3 linked regions of the Canis lupus familiaris genome follow. The protein of the gene in region 1 purifies or fractionates together with the protein of each later gene. This does not show direct contact. Links are inferred from orthologs where the notes say so. Each region holds a gene or a part of one and is shown on either strand. Other genes may lie near its edges.

The links. Proteins that work in one complex are often made in the same cells at the same time.
Region 2: the proteins of AURKA (region 1) and PPP6C purify together in Homo sapiens (affinity purification with mass spectrometry; 4 studies listed by BioGRID and IntAct, with this or other methods). This does not show direct contact. The link is inferred for Canis lupus familiaris from reciprocal best matches to the Homo sapiens genes AURKA and PPP6C.
Region 3: the proteins of AURKA (region 1) and ARFGAP1 purify together in Homo sapiens (affinity purification with mass spectrometry; 3 studies listed by BioGRID and IntAct, counting the BioPlex papers as one, with this or other methods). This does not show direct contact. The link is inferred for Canis lupus familiaris from reciprocal best matches to the Homo sapiens genes AURKA and ARFGAP1.

The regions. Positions count from the first base shown.
Region 1 is NC_049245.1:42,338,937-42,343,365, forward strand, and holds part of AURKA (aurora kinase A), read right to left. Parts: intron 3,869-4,429; coding exon 3,677-3,868; intron 2,671-3,676; coding exon 2,532-2,670; intron 1-2,531. UniProt on the Homo sapiens protein: Mitotic serine/threonine kinase that contributes to the regulation of cell cycle progression.
Region 2 is NC_049230.1:58,004,251-58,008,679, reverse strand, and holds the end of PPP6C (serine/threonine-protein phosphatase 6 catalytic subunit), read right to left. Parts: intron 3,808-4,429; coding exon 3,559-3,807; 3' UTR 539-3,558; downstream 1-538.
Region 3 is NC_049245.1:47,839,201-47,843,629, reverse strand, and holds part of ARFGAP1 (ADP-ribosylation factor GTPase-activating protein 1), read right to left. Parts: intron 4,160-4,429; coding exon 4,103-4,159; intron 2,889-4,102; coding exon 2,856-2,888; intron 2,011-2,855; coding exon 1,981-2,010; intron 1,163-1,980; coding exon 1,106-1,162; intron 632-1,105; coding exon 572-631; intron 1-571. UniProt on the Homo sapiens protein: GTPase-activating protein (GAP) for the ADP ribosylation factor 1 (ARF1). Involved in membrane trafficking and /or vesicle transport.

The sequences.
Region 1 (4,429 bases):
GGGATTTGATCCCGGGTCTCCAGGATCGCGCCCCGGGCCAAAGGCAGGCGCCAAACCGCTGCGCCACCCAGGGATCCCTGCCTCTCATAATTAAATAAAGTATTTAAAAAATAAAGAAAGAAAGCAACCAATCATCTGCCCATTCAACAACAACAACAAAACTGCCCAAAGACTCTTCTTCAAACAAATAATTTCATTCAGATAAAGAAGCACTATCCATAGGAGGGGGGGAAAACACAAAAACCTGATTATGTTGGACTTTTAGATACAGGAAATAGAATGAAAAGATAAGGCACAGGCAGGGAGCAAACCTTTATAAAACACATGCGATAAAAGACTTGTATCCAAAATATACAAGAACTCTTTAAAACTAGAGATGACCCAAATCCCAATTGAAAATGGGCAAAAAGCTGAACAGACACCACAAAGATGATATACACATGGCAAATAAGCACATGAAAAGATGCTCATCACATTGTCAGTAGAGAACTGCAAATTAAAACAATGAGGGAACCCTGGGTGGCGCAGCGGTTTAGCGCCTGCCTTTGGCCCAGGGCGCGATCCTGGAGACCCGGGATCGAATCCCACATCAGGCTCCCGGTGCATGGAGCCTGCTTCTCCCTCTGCCTGTGTCTCTGTCTCTCTCTCTCTCTCTCTCTGTGTGTGTGACTATCATAAATAAATAAAAATTTAAATAAAATAAAATAAAAAAATAAAAATAAAACAATGAGGTGCCGGGCGGGGCACCTGGTTGGTTCAGTGGCTGAGCATCTGCCTTTGGCCTTTGGCTCAGGTCATGATCCTGCGGTCCTAGGATTGAGTCCCACATCGGACTCCCCTCAGGGAGCCTGCTTCTCCCTCTGTCTATGTCTCTGTCTCTCTCAGTGCCTCTCATGAATAAATAAAATTAAAAAACAAAAAACAAAAAACGGAATGAGGTGCCATATACACCTATGAGAAAGACTAAAATCCAAAAAATTGACAATACCAATTGCTGGTGATGAGAAACACAAAGATGACACATCTACTTTGGAAAGACAGTGTACAGTTTCTTACAAAGCTACTACACCACACGAGCTAGTTTTCAAAGCTGTTGAAAACTTATGTCCCACAAAAACACGCATGCATGTTTAAAGCAGCTTTATTCATAATCACCAATAACCGGAAACAAGCAAGATGTATTCAATAGATGAAGGGATAAACTGAACTATATCTACGCTGCAGAATATTATTCAGTTATAAAAAACGAGCTGCCATGCTCACGCCCTGAAATGATACAGATGACCCTTAAATGCATAGTTGTTCCCCCACGGGGGGAACTGCTAATCATTCTAATACCCCTACACATGTACACTGGAACTGAATAATTAAATGGTTGGTAGATACAGAATCCAGGTTTTTCAAGATTGGAATGGGAGGCTACAGATAAGCAATGAGCATATAGAACACCCAAATCTTGGTCTCTAGTATTCCAATTAAAGATACCAGGGCTCCTTGGAGACATGGCAGGTTCTAAAACTGGGATGGGATATATGCAAATCAAAGGTTTAGCAGCTTGTAGGGCCAGATGCCAAGGACATGCTGCAGTACACACCACACCCCCCCCCAGTGATGAGATAGGTCAAAAAAACTAAAAGTGTGCCTGGGTGGCTCATTTAAGTGTCTGCGTTCAGCTCAGGTCATGATCTCAGGGTCCTAGGATGGAGCCCCACATGGCACCGGGCTTCCTGCTCAGTGGGAAGCCTGCTTCTCCCTCTCCCTCAGGCCCTCCCCCTGCCTGTACGTCTAATAAATCTAAAAAAAAAAAACTAAAACAAGGACCATGTGAAAGGGATCCCAAGGACCAAAGCTGGAACAATTTGAGCAGGAAAATAAAGTAGTATTAGATTATAACTCAAAGCAAACTATCCATGAGTCCACAGTAATAAATGACTGAGTAAATAAGGGAGAACAGACAAATCTCTGATGCAGAAGAATTCTAAATGATGATGCAGACAGAGGCAGAGGTGGGACATAGCCCCCACTCCTCCTTCAGGATGGGCAGCAGTACAGAGCAATACACTTGAGAAGAGGGCAGTATGGAAAGAAAGAAAGGGTAACGTCCCAGTGGAGAAACCTAACAGGAGTGACCTCAGCCAGGTGACCTAGGCCAACACCACCAGTGACAAGCCAGGTTTATAGGAGGGACCACACTAATGGACAAAGAACAGGAGAAAAAACATCTGCACTATCTTCAGATTCTCTAAATCCAAAACAAAACAAAACAAAAGTTTATTTTAGAATAAAGAAGGCAACTATTCATATATATACATTTCCACAGAAAACAGCTGTGGAAACAAACCCGCCTGGTACCTTAGTTTACCTGGAGGTATGCTAGCAGTAGGGTATTCTGAGTCTTTCATTCAAATACCTGATCCCATTAAGCTGTCTTTCTTAAGACAAAACCCACTAGACTATGATGAAAGGCACACTGCTACATAGGACAGGAATAGAGGAAACAAAATTAGCCAGGACAATAAATGAAAACTTACAGTAGCAGTTCTCTGCTCATCAAACTTTGACAGTTTCTGAAGTTCTCTGTAGACAGCTCCAAGAGGTGCATATTCTAGAATTAGGTAAACTCTGGTGGCATCATGGAAATAACCATACAGCCTAAGAATATTTGGATGCCTGCAACAAAGGATCAATATTCTAATACTTGGTTTTGGAGAAGATACAATATGTACTACTGATGAAACCCCTCATGTAAAACTAGTGAAAACTGGTTCTGGTCACAGACCTCCCCACCACATCCACCCACCCAATTTGAGCATCTGAAACTCCAGACCTACTAGGAAAACTTAAATACAGCTGCACGTTAGTGCAGAGTATTAATGAACTTCAGGTTTGGTTAAGACTATTTCCTTCCCTTAGACCATCTTTATTCTTAGGGGTAAAAATTCAGCTAAATGTTAGTTCTCTGCACATTAGAGAAAGAGAAGCATGACATTCCCATAGCAGTATGATCCCCAAACACTAGGAGACACAACTTTAAAGCAGGGTTCAGCAACAGTGGGAAAGGTGGGCTGCCAAGAACTTCATGCAGCTGAGAACACAGCCAGCACAGCAGCCCTTCAGCCCCCACCAGCTGTTGCCAGGGAAGGATCTAAACCTGATGCAGACAGGTCTGTAAGTATTTATGACTGATTCAAACCTGAAAAAAACACGAAAGAAAGAGAGAGAGAGAGAGAGAGGAAGGAAGGAAGGAAGGGAAGGGAGGGAGGGAGGGAGGGAGGGAGGAGGGAAGGATGGGAAGGATGGGAAGGATGGGAAGGAAGGGAAGGAAGAGAAGAAAAAGACCCACTGGCTAAAGTCAACCTGCAGAGGCTGCCAGTCTGCAACCTCTGCTTAGAACTCAGAAGTATCATTCCCCTTAATTATGTGCGCACATGCATGCACAGATGCACAGGCACACACACGTGCACACACACACAAACGGGCTCATGTACATATTTCATTAACAAAGCATAAACCTCCAAGGGACTTTTCAGGACCACAGCACTCATCTAGATAAATCTTTTTAAAAATGGTGAATTAAATCATTCTTCACAATACTACAGAGCAGGCCTTGCATCATTTAACTCTTAGTAACTAAGATCTGCACCACATTCTTTTGAACGTCAATCTAGAAACTTACCTAAGGTGGGACTGTATTTCTACTTCTCTTCTCAGCTGATGTTCAACTCCTGCTTTCTCCAGTTGAGCTTTAAATAATACTTTAATAGCCAGGATAAACTTGCTTTGTTTTTCCCTTGCCAAGTAAACATTACCAAACTTTCCTTTACCCAGTGGGCGACCAATTTCAAAATCTTCCAAAGCCCATTGCCTTCTAGGAAAAAAATTTGAACATTTTAAAATGTGAAAAAAGCAAATTTTTTCTAACAATTTATTATTAAGTTGTAGATATGTCTATAAATAATTTTATATTTGAAGTTATATTCAATACGTACCTTGGCAAGAACCAAGCCAATAACTACTATATGTGTCTCCAAAGACATTAAACCCTCCACTCCTCCACCTGCCAATAACTGTATGAGTCAGTGACCAGGAACAATCTGGACTTTTAGAGCTGAAGCACTAATGCTAAGTGTCCAAAGGCAGTACTGCACTCTGAATTACAGACCTATCACAACCACCACTGAAGACCACAGGAAAGGTTAGGGAAGTAATTCGAGGGAGAAGTCTTAAGAACTTCTGTGGGCCTCTTGCAAACGAGCCAGAGCCTCTTCCTCCATCCCAGACATGCTAACTCTCTGGAGTGGAGAATCACTCTGATAAAGCAAGGGGGGTAGATCCTACAGGGCAGGTGGGGGGCGAGAACCACTGGATTTAGATTCTCAGAAACCTACTATGAAAGACAGCTAAAGCAAAACAGCATGTGGGTTCATTC
Region 2 (4,429 bases), on another chromosome or scaffold:
CACTACGGGACTTTCCAAAATGCTTTTTGGTATCTTACTACTGTATACTTCATGAACATGAATGCAGACTATAAACATACAATTGAAAGAGTTGTGATGATCTCATGATGCATGGTTCTGGAAACTCGGTCCAGGCCACAATAATGAATATTGCCTTTAAAGGGGATCCCTGGGTGGCTCAGCGGTTTAGCGCCTGCCTTCGGTCCAGGGTGTGACCCTGGAGACCCAGGATCGAGTCCCACGTCGGGCTCCCTGCATGGAGCCTGCTTCTCCCTCTGCCTGTGTCTCTGCCTCTCTCTCTGTGTCTCTCATGAATAAATAAATTCTTTAAAAAAATAAAAAATAAAAAAATAAAGAACTGGGACACTTAGTTCAAAGTTAAATGCAGAACAATAAAAAGTTTCATTTCTGTTTACCAGTCAAGCAACCAAGTGAAGGAATAAGCATTTTTTTTTAATTTAAATTGTGTTATATAAAATGCTAACTTTTTGTCGGGACATGCTACAGACTATGCATTAGATAAAATTTTCTGACAAACTTCCTATAATCTTTTTATTAATTTACACTGAGAGGATATAGCACCTTTCATCCAAGGAACTGAAGGTGCTTTACAAACATTAGCATTTAAAAAACAATTACATTTAAAAATCTGGATTCGTGCTGTTAAATCTCTTCAACTCCAGGTACACAATTTTCTGGAGGCTGATGGAAAGCAATTCTATTTCTGACAACGAAAGAGGCTCAGAAAGAGTTTGGATTTGCTTTCGCAATACAGGCATTTTCAAAACCTGGTGCTAGGCTTACAAAGCAAACACACACAAATCTTAATGCAAAGAATAGTATTTCAAACCTTATTTCAAAAGCAAAACCCAGGGTTTAAGACGTCACAATCTTCCAACAGTTCTGGTCATCCAGATGTTAGGAGCTGATGCAGATTGCATATTAGATGTGCTCTTGATGCAGACTTTTTAGGATCACACCCAAATGAACACATTTAAAGTAGTGAGATGTTTCAGGAAAAAGCATTAACCTATATATAAAAAGCTAGCCAAGTGCATATCAGGAAAAGGGGAAAGGGAGTAATTGGCAATTAAAAGTAGACAGTTCTCACTAGAGCCTAGGACACTTTATTAGAAACCAAGTATATCATCAGCAAATAAAAATAGTTATTACCCCCATTAATACAACATAAAGGATTTTACATTCAGCCTAGATACAGGGAGTAACAGATCCTCCTGCCTACAAATCTATGACTGGCAAGTATCTTCCACTACATGATTACTCTATATCGTACATAGCCCTTATTTATTAAATCCAAATATTCCTTTTAGGCTTACAAAGTCCAATACATTCACTCTCTCTTCCCTTTACATGTCTAATCGTAAAAACTTCTTTTTTTCATGCAAAAAAGCCGTTATTCAGCTGAAGAGAAAAAAAATCAGACAAAATAGAGATGGCAATTAAGGAATGGACAAAATATTATTGGCACATGCCCAACTAGTGACAAACAAATGCAGTACACCATGACTTAAAAATAAAGGTCACATTACAGGGATAACTAAAACAACTACATCAATCTAAGCTAAGGAGTGTCAAATGGGAAGGGAGGGCTGAGGTTACCGATTTTATTGGTACAACTTAGAAGCAGAGGAGAGCAAGCACTTAAATACAATTTATGGTAACAGAAAAAAACACTGCAGAGAGCTGTTCAAAGACTACACCAAGTTGTCTGCATCATTAATTTCCAGTGTTTCACAATTAGTAAAATACATAGCTACATATCCCTGTAAGATAAAAATACCTTTCCCCCTGAATTACACTGGGGTCAGGGCAGTAACACAAAGCTACTGACCCAACAGTTCAAGTGTGTGCAGCAAATGTCTTAGCCACTTCTTTCATATAGCTATACAATTAAAAACTAAACAAGGAGCTAGGTGGTTATGGCAAAAAAAGAAAATAAAAATAAAAATATTATTGTGCTCATTTAATAAAAGAAAAACCCTGATGAAAAATTATGTGCCAAGAAGCTTAGATTATAAAGATTTTTATTGCATTTTTAGGTAACCTGGAAGTTCTTATCCTGAAGGGGAAAAGTTGGTTTTCAAAACTACCTGAACAGATACTAAAGTGCTTTATTAATTGGCTGGCTTCACAAAGATTTCCTGGAATGACAAAAATTAATTATAGTAGTAAAGGGATACCAACTATTTCACAAAATAGTAAATTCCAACATCATTTATGACCACAGTCATAAGAGACACTGGAACACTTGTCCTTATTAAGTGGACAGTTGCATATAAAGAACTGATCATCACACCCTTTGGATATTTAAATTACTTACACAAAGCCGAAACATGGTACCACAGACCTTTACAAAAAAGGACAATTTGTTTCTTTCTACACTTTTTAAAATTTGCTTCAAATTACAGTTCACAAAATACAAGAGTCCTGACTTTTCAACCTTTCCAGTTGCAGTTAAAAATTGAACACTTTCTAAAAGTTAAGGTCAAGTGTTACATCAAGAGGAGAATGATTCCTACTGAAAAGTACACAGATTTTACTTAATGATATGCATGATAGATTGTAAACTGCATCAATCACATTTTACTCAACTAGTATCAAATGAACACATCAGCATTACAAGTATTAAATGTTTTTCTATTACTATAGAGAATATAAACCAAAACATTAATATGGCAGTTATGTTCTTTAGGCACAGTTTAGTAATTTTTTTTTTTTTTAATAAATAGTATTGAATTTCAGTTGAAGTTTTAAACTCAATAACCAAAGGGTCAAAAACTCTGACTGGGGGGGAGGAGGGGAGAATAACTTTAAACTAACAATGTAAGCTGTTTAAAATTTCTAATACTTTAACCTATCTGGGTTTAAGATTACTTTATTAAAAAATACAAGGAATCTGAAAAAAGATCGATACAATTATCTTACTGTACAAAGTCATAAGCTGTAGCAGTTTTAACTAAAATTTAAAAACACAACAAGGAGGGCAGCCCTTTAGACCAATTTATTTTATATCCACTTAAAATATCATCCAACAAAGGACAATGAAGTTTACAGCTGGGACAGGTATACATAACTCGAGGCATTTGCAGTCCATCGTGCCCACTGAATAACAACTTTGCTGCTGAAATTTCTTAAAACTTACCAAACTAAAACAAAAGGCTGAATGATACAAAAGGAGGAGCATTTCGGTGTAGTCTGTTCTGTCAATTGGCTTTTTAAAAAGAGGAGACACATCCTGTTTCCCCCAGACCAGTAAATAAGCAAGAGCTACATGCAGCAGTGTGAGTATTAAGACATTTCTCAAGTCTTCTCAAATGAGTCCAAAGTGGGGATGGGATAGGGGAGAAAATTGATAGGAAAACATTGCTATAGACACCATAACAAACAATAAATTTAGATAATTTAAAATTAAAAAAAAGGCAAGAGGCAGCATTTCAGCAGCAAAGTGCTCAATAAAAAGTATATTGTAGAGGGTAATACACGAAAGTTGGGGTATGAAGAAGGAAGAAAAATGGGTCAGCAGGATGGGCGAAGGCCTCAAAGAAAATACGGCGTCGTCGTTCTGGGAGGAATAACACGTTCTGAATCTGGAACTGCCCGGAATAACTTTGGTTCTCTTGTATTTACATCTTTGAAGACCATGATCGAAGCGATATTTCCACAACGATAGCAGTAATTAGGAGCAGACCATACTGTTACCAGCTTCTCATCAAACATAAATTTATAGCCTTCGTGCACTAGTTGGTGTGCTCTGCAGATGAGTTTTAAGTTGTTGATATGAACAAACTGCAAGTCAGAAAGGTTTTGTTAAATATCTAGCACATAAAAAGAATCATGTTATATTTATATATAAAATAAGTAAGAAAATAATATTTAAATACAGTCTGGGGCTCCTGGGTAGCTCAGGAGCACCCAACTCTTGATTTTGGCTCAGGTCATGATCTTAAGGTTGTGAGATCGAGCCCCATGTCTGGCTCCACACTGGGCATGGAGCCTGCTTAAGATTCTCTCTTTCCTTCCTCTCTCTCTGCTCTCCCCCTCCCTCTCAAAAAAAAAAAAAATAATAATAAAGTATAAATCCTTTTACTAACGTTCTCATGATTATAGAACCCATTCTAGGGATCTCTGGGTGGCGCAGCGGTTTGGCGCCTGCCTTTGGCCCAGGGCGCGATCCTGGAGACCCGGGATCAAATCCCACGTCGGGCTCCCGGTGCATGGAGCCTGCTTCTCCCTCTGCCTGTGTCTCTGCCTCTCTCTCTCTCTCTCTGTGTGATTATCATAAATAAATAAAAAATTAAAAAAAAAAAAAAGAACCCATTCTACTATAGTTATCCCCACTATTTACAGTAAGTTATAGACAAATAAGGCTGTTTTGGCCTAAGTTATAGAAATCATACAGTCACGTAAT
Region 3 (4,429 bases), about 5.5 Mb from region 1:
GGTGGCTGCTCAGGGTGGGTCCTCACAACGCACACATGGTCCCGCTCAAGGTCCCGGCAAAGCTTAGAGACCCGAGCAGAACAGCAGGGCTCAGGCCCGAGGCCTTCGTATGCTCCTCCCGACAGGAACGGTCCAGGGGACGCCCGGTGTGCACACAGTGGTGGCGGCGGGAGGCCCTAGTGCTCAGCTCGAGGAAACAGCATGCAAGCAAAGCCCCTGCGGCAGGCTGGGGAGGGGGGCCATGCACACCCCAACCCGCCTAGAAGACGGCGGGGCCCCGGCCCGTCAGATGGCACTCACCGGGGCAGGGCAGCGGCGGCACAACGAAGGCAGAAGGAAAAGAAGCAAGTTAGCAGACCTGACAGGGCCCCCCACCAAGCTGTGTCCACATTCCTCGGGCAGCCGGCACCGGAGCGCTCAGCTGAGCCGCCTCACCGCCCAGCGGGCACCTGGCGGGCACCCAGGCTGCGGGAGCGTGTGGGGCGCGGAGGGCCCTCCTGCTCTTGGCCAAGGCGCCCTGGAATGTGGAGACTGGCTTCCAGCTGCGCCCAAGCTCCAGGGCTTGCCCTACCTTGGACGCCAACTGAGAGACCCCACTGGACACATCATCAAAAATCTTTCCCTCTTTCACCTGCGTGGGTTAAAACACTGCCATCAGCCCAGGGGCACAGAGCCCATCGTCGCCGTCTCTGACCAAGGACAGTGCACGCCGGAAAGAGCCGTGGCGGCAGCTGTGTGCGACGTCTCCCCCGGGCAGCCCCCTCCCCACGCGTGAAGGGGCCGGGGCCACCGACTGTGCCCAGGCTGCTGTAACGCGGCATCCTCCCGGAGGGCCTCTGGGTCAGCCACAATGTCCTGCGGACAGGTCGGCACCGCCCCCGGGCCCCAGCCTGCTTGGGGGGCTCCCTGGCCGTCAGCCACCTCCGCGCTGCCCACCCAGCCCACCCTGAGGAACGGAGCGCAAGGCTGGGCCTCACAGAGCCCAGGGATGGGGGCCCAATGGACGGAGTTGGAACTGCTGGACAAAGCCCCCCAGCACCCGCTGCTCCCCTGGAATGAGGGCCTCAGGGGGTGGACAAGGGACACCGGGCGTCGGGGGCGTTACCTTCTCCTGCGCAGGTTTGAGAACGTTCTCGTTCAGGCTGTGGCCCAGCTCCGAAGCCTGTTTGATGAGAGGCAAGTCAGGTGAGCTCGGGCAGCGTGTCACCCAGGACACTGGTCGGCACAGTGGCCACGAGCCCAGCACCCAGGAGGCCCCCACCCCACTGTCATGGCAGCTGCGGCGCCCGAGGCAGCTGCACGGAAGTGGCCCGCAGGCACCGTGGCGGTGGGGCGGCCAGAGACCACTGCCCCAGCCCTCCGCGCTCTGGAGGGAAGAGGCCCAGAGTGGCAGCAAGGCCTCGGGAGTCCGTCCCACACAGCGGCCACCTGTGGGTCTTCCCATCAGAGCCACGCAGTCCCATCCCCAGGACGGCCCACGTGCTGCAGCAGGTCACATGCTACCCCTCAGCTGGAGTGCAGGCAGGTGCACCTCTGGTCACTGGATGAGGTTGAAGCCCACCTGCCCTCCAGCGGCCACCTGACCCAGAGGGAAGGGGACAGAGCCAGAGGATGAGCCAAGGTGGGTGGGGCGGCAGCGGGACGATGGGGCAGCTAAGAGGGAGAGCACCAAGTAACAGCAGCCTCGAGGCACAGGGCAAGCGCACAGCGTCAGCACCTCACCGCTGCAATGACACCCCCTCTGCGTACTTAGCAGGAAGTGATGAGGTCATGAAATGAAAATCCTGCCAAGCAGCTCCCGGCACCCCAACAGGAGCAGTGCCCCTGGCCCCGGCCCCAGCAGGTTGGTGAGAAGCTCCGAGGGCGAGCACACGTAAGCAAGGACACACACAGGCCACGGTCCAGGAACGCTCAGGGCAAAGCATGTGGGCAGCACAGAGAACGGGGGAGGCATGCACGAGAACGGACGTGGCGCCTTACCAGCTCGGGCTGCTGCTTGGTGCCCCAAAACTTTACCCAGATAGCAAGGGAGCGGGTTGGGGCGGGGAGGGGGGGAGAGGGAGAGAGTGAGAGGCAGAGTGCGCACGAGCAACAAGGAAGCACCTCCAGACACCTTAATCAGCCTCACGTTCTGGTTGCGTCACCCCAGCGGGCGTCCTCAAGAGTGCCCTCGGTGCCCACCTACTGCCACCGACCCTCGCTGCTTTCTACTCTGAGGTACAACTTCCAGAACCACGTGAGCAAGTCAGGAACCCCAAAGCGGGCGCACCACACACGGAGAGCGACTGCCCTCCCTCCTGGGACAGCCTGCAGGGCTGCTGCCTCCGGCCCGAGTCCTAACCCCCACACCGGGGGACAGGCAGTCCAGCGTCCTGGCACCACCTGGGGACTGCAGGGCCACCAACCAAGATTGGAAAAAAAAGACAAATACCAACCACCCCAAACCACCACTCACAGTGAGAAACTAACGGGGAACCAAGGTATTTCCGCAGAACCCAGACCCACCGCCCCAAGGAGGGGCTGCCCCATGGCCCACGGCCCTCGGCCCTACCAGGCTTCCCTCCCCCCCGCGGGCAGGAACCACACAGGAGCCGTCCCTCCGGCCGGGTGCCCAGGCAAGGATGGACAGGGGACCCTGGCCTTGCCCCGCAGGCCCCGACAGACGCAGCCTCCCACCCCACCTGCTAAACCCGCAGGCGCCGGGGCACAAGTCCGAGAGCACAGGCCTGAGCTGCAGAAACGTCCCCTCTCCAAGCACAGGGCCCGATGACGGCAGCCTGGGCAGCGTCCAGACGCCAACCAGACGTCACACTAGAAATTTTAGCAACACAAAACGCAGAAGCTTCCTTTGTTACCTTCTGACTTGCTTGAGATCCGAATTTGGTTGCCTGGAAAGAGACACAGGATTTCCAGCTCGCCTGTCCTGACGCCCGGCCCCAGGCTGCGCTTCCCACCCTCGACAAATGCCCGGTCCAGGCCTGTCCCGTCAGCCACGCCCCCAGGGGCCCAGCAAAGCTGCCCACTAGGCCAGGCCCGGAGGGAGGGAGGCCGTCGGGAGGGGCAAGCCCGCAGCACACAGGCCGGGGGGAGCAGGCCCATGGCAGGGGCGGCCCCCCCAGCCCCGGCATCTATGGGTGTTCCTGAGGCCCAGACCGTGCACCTACTTGGCACCCAGTGCGGCCCCGTCCCACAGCTCCCCGCAGCACCCCCACCCCCAACCACGTTCACTACAAAGAAGGAAAAGGCCTGGCCAGGCGTTCCAGCTGGAAGGCACCTGGACCTCCCGGCTGTAGCCCTCCAGAGGCCACGAGCCAAAGCTGCGGTGCCACAGGGCCTGCTGCCCCTCGAGGCTCCTCCCGGGCCGGACAGGGGAGGATGCAGGGCACATGCACCCACGGGCAGCACAGTGTCCGTGGGGCCTTCGTCCCAGCCCAGGACCAGCCCTGTGGCTCCTGCGGGTCACGCGACGGCAGGCACCGTCTGGCCCACGGTCTCCTGGCTCTCGGAACATTCCTGTCCCGGTCCTGCGTGCCACGCAGCCCCTCGACCCTGCCCTGGGCTCTCCGTCCTCCAGGGCACCTTCCTTACCAAGGCCACACCTGCCAGACCCCCCAGTACCCCCCAGGGTGATGGCCCCAAAAGGTTTCTGGCCTGTTCCTTTCTAAGCCCAAGGCCACTGTCCACCTGCGTGTCCTGACAAAATCCCCAACCCTCCCGCGCTTGGGCGGAGGAGCAGGCAGGGCTGAGAGGAAAGTCAGACGAACCCTGCTCTGTGCCCAGCAACAGGCGCTGGAGGGCTGGCGGGACCCCTCTGCCCGCAGGGCTCACGACATGCGGTGCCTTGGCATGGCACCCCTTCCAGAGCCGGCTGGCCTCTGCACACAGCTCACCCTGATGGGCGGGCGGGTGGGTGCCTGCTGCTAAAGCAGCCAACGGCGGGCCCTGAGACTGGCCGTGGCCTCGGGGACCCGAGAGCACGCCTGGGGGCCGGGAACGCCCCCCACTCCTCGTGGAGCGCCCTGCAGACCCTTCTCTGCCCCCAGACCCCAGACAGCACCGCCTGTGAGGGGCCGGCGGGAGGAGCGCTGGGGCGGGTACTCACACCCTCCTTAGCAGCTGAAGCAAACTTGCTCGCTCCAGTGGTAAAACTGCTCCAGCCCTGCAAGGAAGCAAGAGGGGCCACGTCGAGGTTCCACAGCGGCGGCCCAGCAGGCTGTCGGCCACGCCACCCACTGCTCAGCACAGAGCCGATGGACTCTGCACCCAGCTCCGCAGGGAGGCCACCTCCGGGAGGCCCTGCGCACGGCCGCAGCCCCGCTTCCCAGGTGGAGCGGGCATTCCTGCCGCAGCACCACGCACCCCACCCTGGCCCCCCTGTGCCAGGCTGGTGGGCAGAGCGCTGGGATCCATGTGCCCGGTGCGCTCGCGG